Rattus norvegicus: one gene and its partner. The protein of the gene in region 1 purifies or fractionates together with the protein of each later gene. This does not show direct contact. Links are inferred from orthologs where the notes say so. Each region holds a gene or a part of one and is shown in the gene's direction. Other genes may lie near its edges.

What was found. The genes of interacting proteins can lie anywhere in the genome.
Region 2: the proteins of Mapk9 (region 1) and Dusp16 purify together in Homo sapiens (affinity purification with mass spectrometry; 6 studies listed by BioGRID and IntAct, with this or other methods). This does not show direct contact. The link is inferred for Rattus norvegicus from reciprocal best matches to the Homo sapiens genes MAPK9 and DUSP16.

The regions. Positions count from the first base shown.
Region 1 is NC_086028.1:34,708,706-34,711,855, forward strand, and holds the end of Mapk9 (mitogen-activated protein kinase 9), read left to right. Parts: exon of another isoform or gene 1-263; coding exon of another isoform or gene 264-268; coding exon 269-411; 3' UTR 412-2,572; downstream 2,573-3,150. UniProt on the Homo sapiens protein: Serine/threonine-protein kinase involved in various processes such as cell proliferation, differentiation, migration, transformation and programmed cell death.
Region 2 is NC_086022.1:169,358,579-169,362,955, reverse strand, and holds the start of Dusp16 (dual specificity protein phosphatase 16), read left to right. Parts: upstream 1-1,447; 5' UTR 1,448-1,802; intron 1,803-2,705; exon of another isoform or gene 2,706-2,840; intron 2,841-2,887; exon of another isoform or gene 2,888-4,377. UniProt on the Homo sapiens protein: Dual specificity protein phosphatase involved in the inactivation of MAP kinases. Dephosphorylates MAPK10 bound to ARRB2.

The DNA.
Region 1 (3,150 bases):
CATATGTGACCACATACACATTGCCCGTGGTGCGGGCAGAACAGGGGACTATTGTAGGGAAAGCCCAAGACTGATTTCGAAACTGAACTAACAAAGGACTCCAGGAAAAATCCCAGAAGCTTAAAGTGTAGTTGAGCAGTCTTGGTTCTGTGGGTCATTAGGATCCGGAAACTACCAAGCACAGAATGGAGAAGTAGCCTGAAGCCCCACGCCTGGCGTGCAGGATGCCGTGCCTCAGATTTTACTCCGTTTGGTTTTCTTAGCACAGATGCAGCAGTAAGCAGCAAGGCTACTCCTTCTCAGTCGTCATCCATCAATGACATCTCATCCATGTCCACTGAGCACACCCTGGCCTCAGACACAGACAGCAGTCTCGATGCCTCAACCGGACCCCTGGAAGGCTGCCGATGAAACCTCGCAGATGGCGCACTTGTCTGTGAAGGACTCTGGCTTCCATGGCCCTGAGCACATGGGAGCTGGTGGAACCAAATCAAGAAGCTCCATGTTCTGCATGTAAGAAACACGACGCCTTGCCCCCACTCAGTTCCAGTAGGATTGCCTGCGTAGACTGTAACATGAGGCAGACGATGTCTGGAGAAAAAGTACAAACCACACTGTTAGAAATTTTGTTCAAGATCATTTCAGGTGAGCAATTAGAATAGCCGAGTTTCTTTTTCCAGTCGTGTGGTGTCCTTGGTGACAGATCATGTGTAACTGTGGGGACTCGTATGCATGTGACCACAAATGCTTGCTTGAACTTGCCCATGTAGCACTTTGGGAATCAGTATTTAAATGCCAAATAATCTTCCAGGTAGTTCTGCTTCTAGAATAATCTCTTAATCCTCTTTAGTAATTTGGTGTCTGTCCACAAAAAAATAGATCATGTGTATGAATTGGCCACTATCATATTATCATATTTTACCCACTTTTATGGTATGATTTATTCTGTCTTTTGTATTTCAGAAGGAATATAATTAAATTTATTTAATAAATAAAACTACAGCTTTTCTTAAATTTGTGATGTTTTAGGCTGAGAATTACCACTGCTTTATATCGACACTCTGTGTCCTTTAAACTGCCCACTATGGGAAACTTTACGTACAGCTTTCTGCATGACAAAGTTCCAAGTTGTATTTCACTCTGCTTAACGACTTATGTCACCTTGAATCCTGACCACACATTTCCTTTTTCTTGGTCCTCTGAACTTGGATCTAGAATCCCTCACAGAACTTCACCTTCTTTATCACAAAGCACCCCATCTCAGTAGAATGAATCGGCAGATTCCTGAGCCCCGCTGCCTAATGTAGAGCTGACAGGGTGGCTTCCCCAGAACGGTGGGTGGGTGCCTCCTTCCCTGAGCCCACCCATCCTTTGCTCCCCTCTCTTTATTTAAGGTGAAAGGTGATTGGGTCTCATAGCCTTTCCTTTTGTAGCATTGCCTAACTTGTCTTTCTCACTGACAGAAGCCACCACGTCCAGCCAGAGCACATGGTCTCTTAGGAGACCGGGCTTACTTACCATGCATGTTTGCTGCTGTCCTTTTCCATTTTGTGGAGGCATTTCCTTTTTCTAAGGGAATTCCTCAGATGTTCTAGAAACATTCAGAAGAACGCAGAAGAAATATTCTAGAGAATTAGGGGTTCATTCTTGAATATTTTCTGATTTAAAACTGCTCACCTGAAATTGATACTTTCAGATCCTGATCTGTAAATTACTCGAGATTTGGTAAGATGCTGAGTTCTCTGTGTTGTTGCAGAATTGGAGTTGGGATGATCATACCTTGGCTACCTGCGCTCAGAGCATTTCCTTCTTGAGCTTATTTTGTTAACAATTCATATCTTGTGTTCAGTTACTTTGGGAGCTATGGAGTGTGTTATAGAAGGAAATTTGATAAGAACTTTTATGGAAAGTACCATCTAATACGTGATTCTGTCTGCACCAGTTGTATCCTAATGGTTGGTCTGATCATTGGAACCTTTAATGAACAATGTTAATCTGAAGTAAGGATTAGCTTTATATCACATGTGGACACTTTCAGTTACAAATGCTAGTGCGGGTGAGGGCAGAGACACCTGCCTATGGCTTCAGGTTATTGGGCCCTGGGAGGCTGAAGTTTCACAGCGTCATACTGTGCTCTTCCCTCGGATGCACATTCTTGAAATGACTTCCCTGAAACTTAAGGAGGAAATCAGAAAGGCACTGCATTATCTGCCCTACACTGTAAGGGGAGCATGCTGTGATAGAGGCTCGCCCTGGTCCCACAGACAGGAGGCAGCTGTGAGTGGATCCAGGCGCCCTCAAAGAGTGGCTTTCTCCCCCCTTACTCTGCCTATCTATCAACACTGTTTTGGATGGAGCCTGTGCTGGTGTGGACAGGGTCTCATGCCAAGACTCTCCTCCATCAGGCAAGTGCACCTAGGACTGGCCACAGCGCCCCAAAGAAATACCTCACCCCAGTTTCAGGGTCCTCCCTCCTGAGCCTAGCTTTGCCAGGGTCCTGGGACAATGCGAATGGTTTTGAGCTGACCTCTGTAGGCAAATGCTGATGTTGGATAAAGAACTGAAAAATGTGCTCAACTTTCTCATCTTTTCTATTTTATTTTTGTAATTTATATTGTACACACCCTGGAAGTCACTATTTTGGACATGTATTTTTATAAACCGGGTAACTAATGATTATCTGGAATTTGCACTAGGTTAGTTTTTGTTGTTGTTGGCTTAATTTTCAGCCAAAAGTGGAATGACTGCCCCTTCCAGGTCTGAGTTTTCATTTCAAGCGCAGGTCTGGAGGGCAGACATGTCCAGCCAGGGTAGGAGCGCGGCCTCAGAACTCGGGCTGCAGAGTGCCTCAAGCACTGGGCCTGCAGTCAGAACTGTGCTCTCATCTTTAGAACACAAAGACCAGTCCCCGGTGTTAGAAAGAGAAAGCCCTCCATTGGCCCTTGTTGACAGCCAGGGCCTGCATCTAAAGTAAAAAGCCCAACACTGGTTTCATCTGGGCTGGGTGTGTGAGTCTGTCTGCTATGACTCCTCTGATGCCTCATGCTGGTGGTAAGTACAGTATGACCTTTCAGGTTGTGTATCTCAAAAGTAACTGCCTAATGTTTTATAATAAAATATATCATGTGTTTTGATTGGTGGAAAAATAAT
Region 2 (4,377 bases), on another chromosome or scaffold:
TGCCACCTTTAAAAAAGGCACCTAGGCAGTGTCCACATCTATTTCCTTCAACATACTGCCTTCAAGGGCCAGAATCCTTACTTCAGTACCCTGCAAATGACAGTGTTTTGGGGTAAATTCTTCCTACACAGGAATCTGGCTCTTGGGCCAGTCCACCAGGAGAGTGCTTTTCTGTCATTAATCTCATCTTTCTTATGTGATATCCACGTGAAGCCTTTTTAGTAGAAGCAGCTTCAAGCTCAGATGCTCAAAGGGCGCTGGGATAAAGCTTCGATTGTCCTATTCAGTGGCTGAGAATGGTTGTCGCCACCTCAGGTCTCTCGTTTTTTCCAAAGTATGTAGTGTCTCAAAAACAAAGCTACTTTGAAAAGAGGAGAGAGAAAAGAAAAAGAAAACAAGTACAAAACCCCCAAATCCATGAGAAACTTGGAGTTAAATCAAGTAGGTCTCGCATCTCTTGAGAGGAAGTGAACTCTGGTTTAACTTAAGATGATGCTGCACTTCTGATAAGAAAATACTTATTTTATGTGTAAGGGTGTTTTTGCCTACATGTTTGTATGTTCACGCCACAGGTGTGCTCGGTGCCCATGGAGGTCAGCAGAGGGCATCAGATCCCCTGGATCTGGAGTTACAGATGGTTGTAAGCTGCCCTGTGGATGCTGGGAATCGAACAGTCAGTGCTCTTGACTGCCCAAAACCCCCTTAAAGTTTTATTACATTTTTATTTATTTGTGTGTATAGCGGGGTGGGGCCGGCATGTGGACTGAGGACAATTTTCAAAGACGGTTCTCTCCACCGCATGGACACTTTACATGCTGAGCCATTCCGAGGGCACGCAGAAAAGATTTTTTAAAATAATCCTTGGCTATGTTTGCCATAAATCGAGGCATTCGGATAGGGTGCAAGGTCGAAGACACGGGTGAATGTCTGACAACTCGGGTGCAATTTTCCTTAAAGTACCTGTAACTTCCCTCTCAAGAGAAAAGCCCCGGATTTGGGATTCCGGAACCTTCTTACAGAGTGACCGCAGCAGTCTCTAGTCACCGTGTTTTTGTATAGTGCGGGCGGGCGGCAGACTCTGACTCCAGGGCCGCGAACTCGGAGCGACCAGGCGCGCGGGCGGGCGAGCGGGCGGAGCAAGCAGCAGCACGGCGGCGGCCTGCCTGCGCGCGGCGCCGGGTTCTTCCTCCCCGTGGCGCCCGAGGATCCGAGCCCACCTCCCGGAGCCTCCGGAGCCTCCGGCTCGCGAGGACGAGCACCGAGGGGCGGGCGACGCGCGGCCCCGTCCGGCGCCCCCGCCCCCCGCCCTGCCCTCGCCTGTCTCCTCCTTTCCCCCCACGGGCTTCGCTGAGTTCATTCACTGGGATTGGTTTCAAGTGACGCCATCTCTTTATTTTTAAACCGATGACCTCATCGGCGCTTGAAGTTTCCTGACCAGCGACTCTTTCTCTCTCCCCAACCCCCACCCTACCCCCCCTGGTCCCCTCCTGCGGGCATCACCGTTTGGGGGGGCTCTCATCCCACTTCCAGCCATTTACCCTCCCCCTCTCCACTTTTCCCGCGCGGACCCCCCCAACTTTACCTCAACTTCTTCATCCCTGTCGACATTTTTTTCCCCCTTTCGGGGGGCGGTGGAAGAGAAAGTGAAGAAAAGTTGCAAACGCCCGGGCTCTCGCTAAGCTCTCCGCCCACCCCTCAGAGGAGAAGCCCCGGCGGCGAGGAGGACGCGCTAGCGACGGCTGGGCGACGCGGTGACAAGGCTCGCTCCCCACACAGCGAGCCTGGAGCCGGCCGCCCCTCAAGTAAGTGTTCGCGGCGGGCCGCGGGCCGGCTGGGAGGCGCGTCCGCACCTCGTGCGGGCCGCCGCGCGCTCTCCCCGGGGGCCGGCGGGCCGCGGCCGGCCGGAGTGGCGTCGGCGTCGGTGACGGGGGTGTGTGTAGGCCGCGCTGGGGGGTCGGCCCGAGTCGCGGGGGCGCCCGGGCCTCGCCGCGCCGAGCGGAGCGGAGGCGAGCGGGCGAGCGAGCTCCGGGCCGCGGGTCGCGGGCACCTGGGCGGGCGAAGCTGCTCACTTCCAGACTGTTACACAACACGCCTGCCAAGTGGGGCCCCGGCCTGACTGTTTCCATTATCCCAAATTCACCTTGTGTGCTGGCAGCGAGGCCACCTGGGGAGCGACGGTGCCGCTTCCTTAAAACTCATGCCCCCAACCCCGAAAAAGAAAACCCACCCCCACACTTCAACTTCCATTCCGGGGCTCCCGTCACGGTGTTGGGGGAAAGCGGTCCGTCGGTGACTTTATTTACAGTAGCCGTAAAATGTGAGACATTAAAACGGGGGAAGCAACGGACGGTCTGTGAGTATCGTGTAGTTTCACGTGAGAAAAAAAAAAAAAACCCTGAGGAGGACGTGTATGCAAACTCTTTGAAGAGCGGGCGACGGTTGTTTTCCTACAGAAAGCTGGTAATAAACTTGGGGGAAGTACAAGGAGATCTTAAAATGAATGGCCGCTGCAAAACTGGAAAGAACTTTCCTTAAACGTCTGTTTCCAAGATCCTCGGTGTTCGGAAGCCCCGTGGGTCTCAGACTGTTTGGAGAACGCACACCTCTAATCAGCCCATGCTTAGAGAGGAAAAACCTGTTGCATAATCTCATTTGCTGTGGGGTTGGCTGAGCCGTCCCCTGGAACCAAGGGGGAAGTGAGTTAAGATGAGGGTTTTAAAACCTCTGAGGTTTTTATTTACACAGTGCGCTGGGTGCCACTTTGCCTTTAAAGATTGTAAGTAGATACCCTGCTCTTACAAGTGAATCAAACCTATGGAACCTGCTGGGGAAATGACCAGGTATGTGTCCTTCTCTCTCCTCTCTCTCTCTCTCTCTCTCTCTCTCTCTCTCTCTCTCTCTCTCTCTCTCTCTCTCTCTCTCTCTCAGACTGGGGAGGGGGGCTCTTGGCCACTCTATGGAGCTGATACAGTCGACAACTACTTCCTCAAGAGTCGTATGCTTTTTCATCTCCCATAAAGAAAAGACTTTTAAAGGTAAAAGGGGAACAAAGAGCTTCACCATTGAGATAATTTCCTTTTAACTACTCCAGAATCATATTATTGATGAGCACACTTCGGGGGACGGCTGTGGTTCAGATTTATAAAATTCTGTATTTGGTGAAGATCAGCAGCTTGGAGAAGTATATTGAAAACTGAAGTATTTGTGGCTTTGTGTATTTTAGTCAAAATGTGACTAGGCACTGCAAAAGGGTTTTTTGGTCTTTATTTTAAGAATAAAGCTGTGGGATTTACTGGTGTTTAACGACCTTGTGGGGTGTTGATATTAATTTTTTCTTGACATTTACCATCTTATGGGACAAATTCAGGACTTCAGCTTGAATTATTAGTTTTTAGTTCAATATTTGTGTTTGTCAGAGTTCCTAATGGAGAGAAAATTAGGAATAAGTTTATTTTAAATTTTAGTAAGTAGTGAATAAGTTGATTAAAATTATAAAACGTTGATAAAGATATTTACTTCTTTTTTTTTTTTTTTTTTTTTTTTTTTCTCCCTGGTATCTCAGCATACCAGAATACTTATCCTAAAATTGTGCTGGTTTTACTTTAGTGTTTCAGATGGTAAATTTTAATGGACAGGGTTGGGAACAGGAAAGTGCACAATACCCACTCCCTCCCCAGCTCTCACTTTGTTCAGTTCCCAAGTTCTTGTCATTTAGTTCAGCTCCATGACTGTAATTGAGTACCTACAAAATTAAAATATTAATATGAAATTGGGAGTTCCTGGTTTTTTGATCAAAGGTTTAATTATAGTAATTGAGAAAGGGGACAAAGAGGAAGATCCTGGTACCAATTCCCCTTCCTCCTTTTTCTTAGATGTTGAAAACTTATTTGTAGAGTGGAACAGAGGGGGCAGAGGTCAGCTAGTTTAAGAGTAGGTCTGGCCTAGGGTTAGGTGAGGTCCTAAGCCCATGTCGCCTCCCACATAGAGAGAGTAGGTCTGAGAAGCTTGAAGGGAAGTTTGACTGGAGTTAGAGAGGAGCAGGAACAACGTAGGGGTTTTAAAATATCCCTTTTTTCCCTCTAACTGCCTGGATTAGGAAATTGAATTTCATAGGATTTTCATTATTTGGCCTTAATATATTAAACAAGCAAGTTTATATAACTGCCCATTGTTAAGTCTTTTCTATTTTCAACCAATCATAAAGTCCTGTTAAATATAACTTGATGTAATTTACCAGTGTAGTTTATCCAGTCTCATGTTCCTGGTGTTTCCAACAAAGACAGTTTTTTGTTGCATCTTATCTGGACTAATAATTTCATTGGACACCAATGTTTTTTAAGAGCCTTGAGTTCTCAAACAGAAGATACCATAACTTGA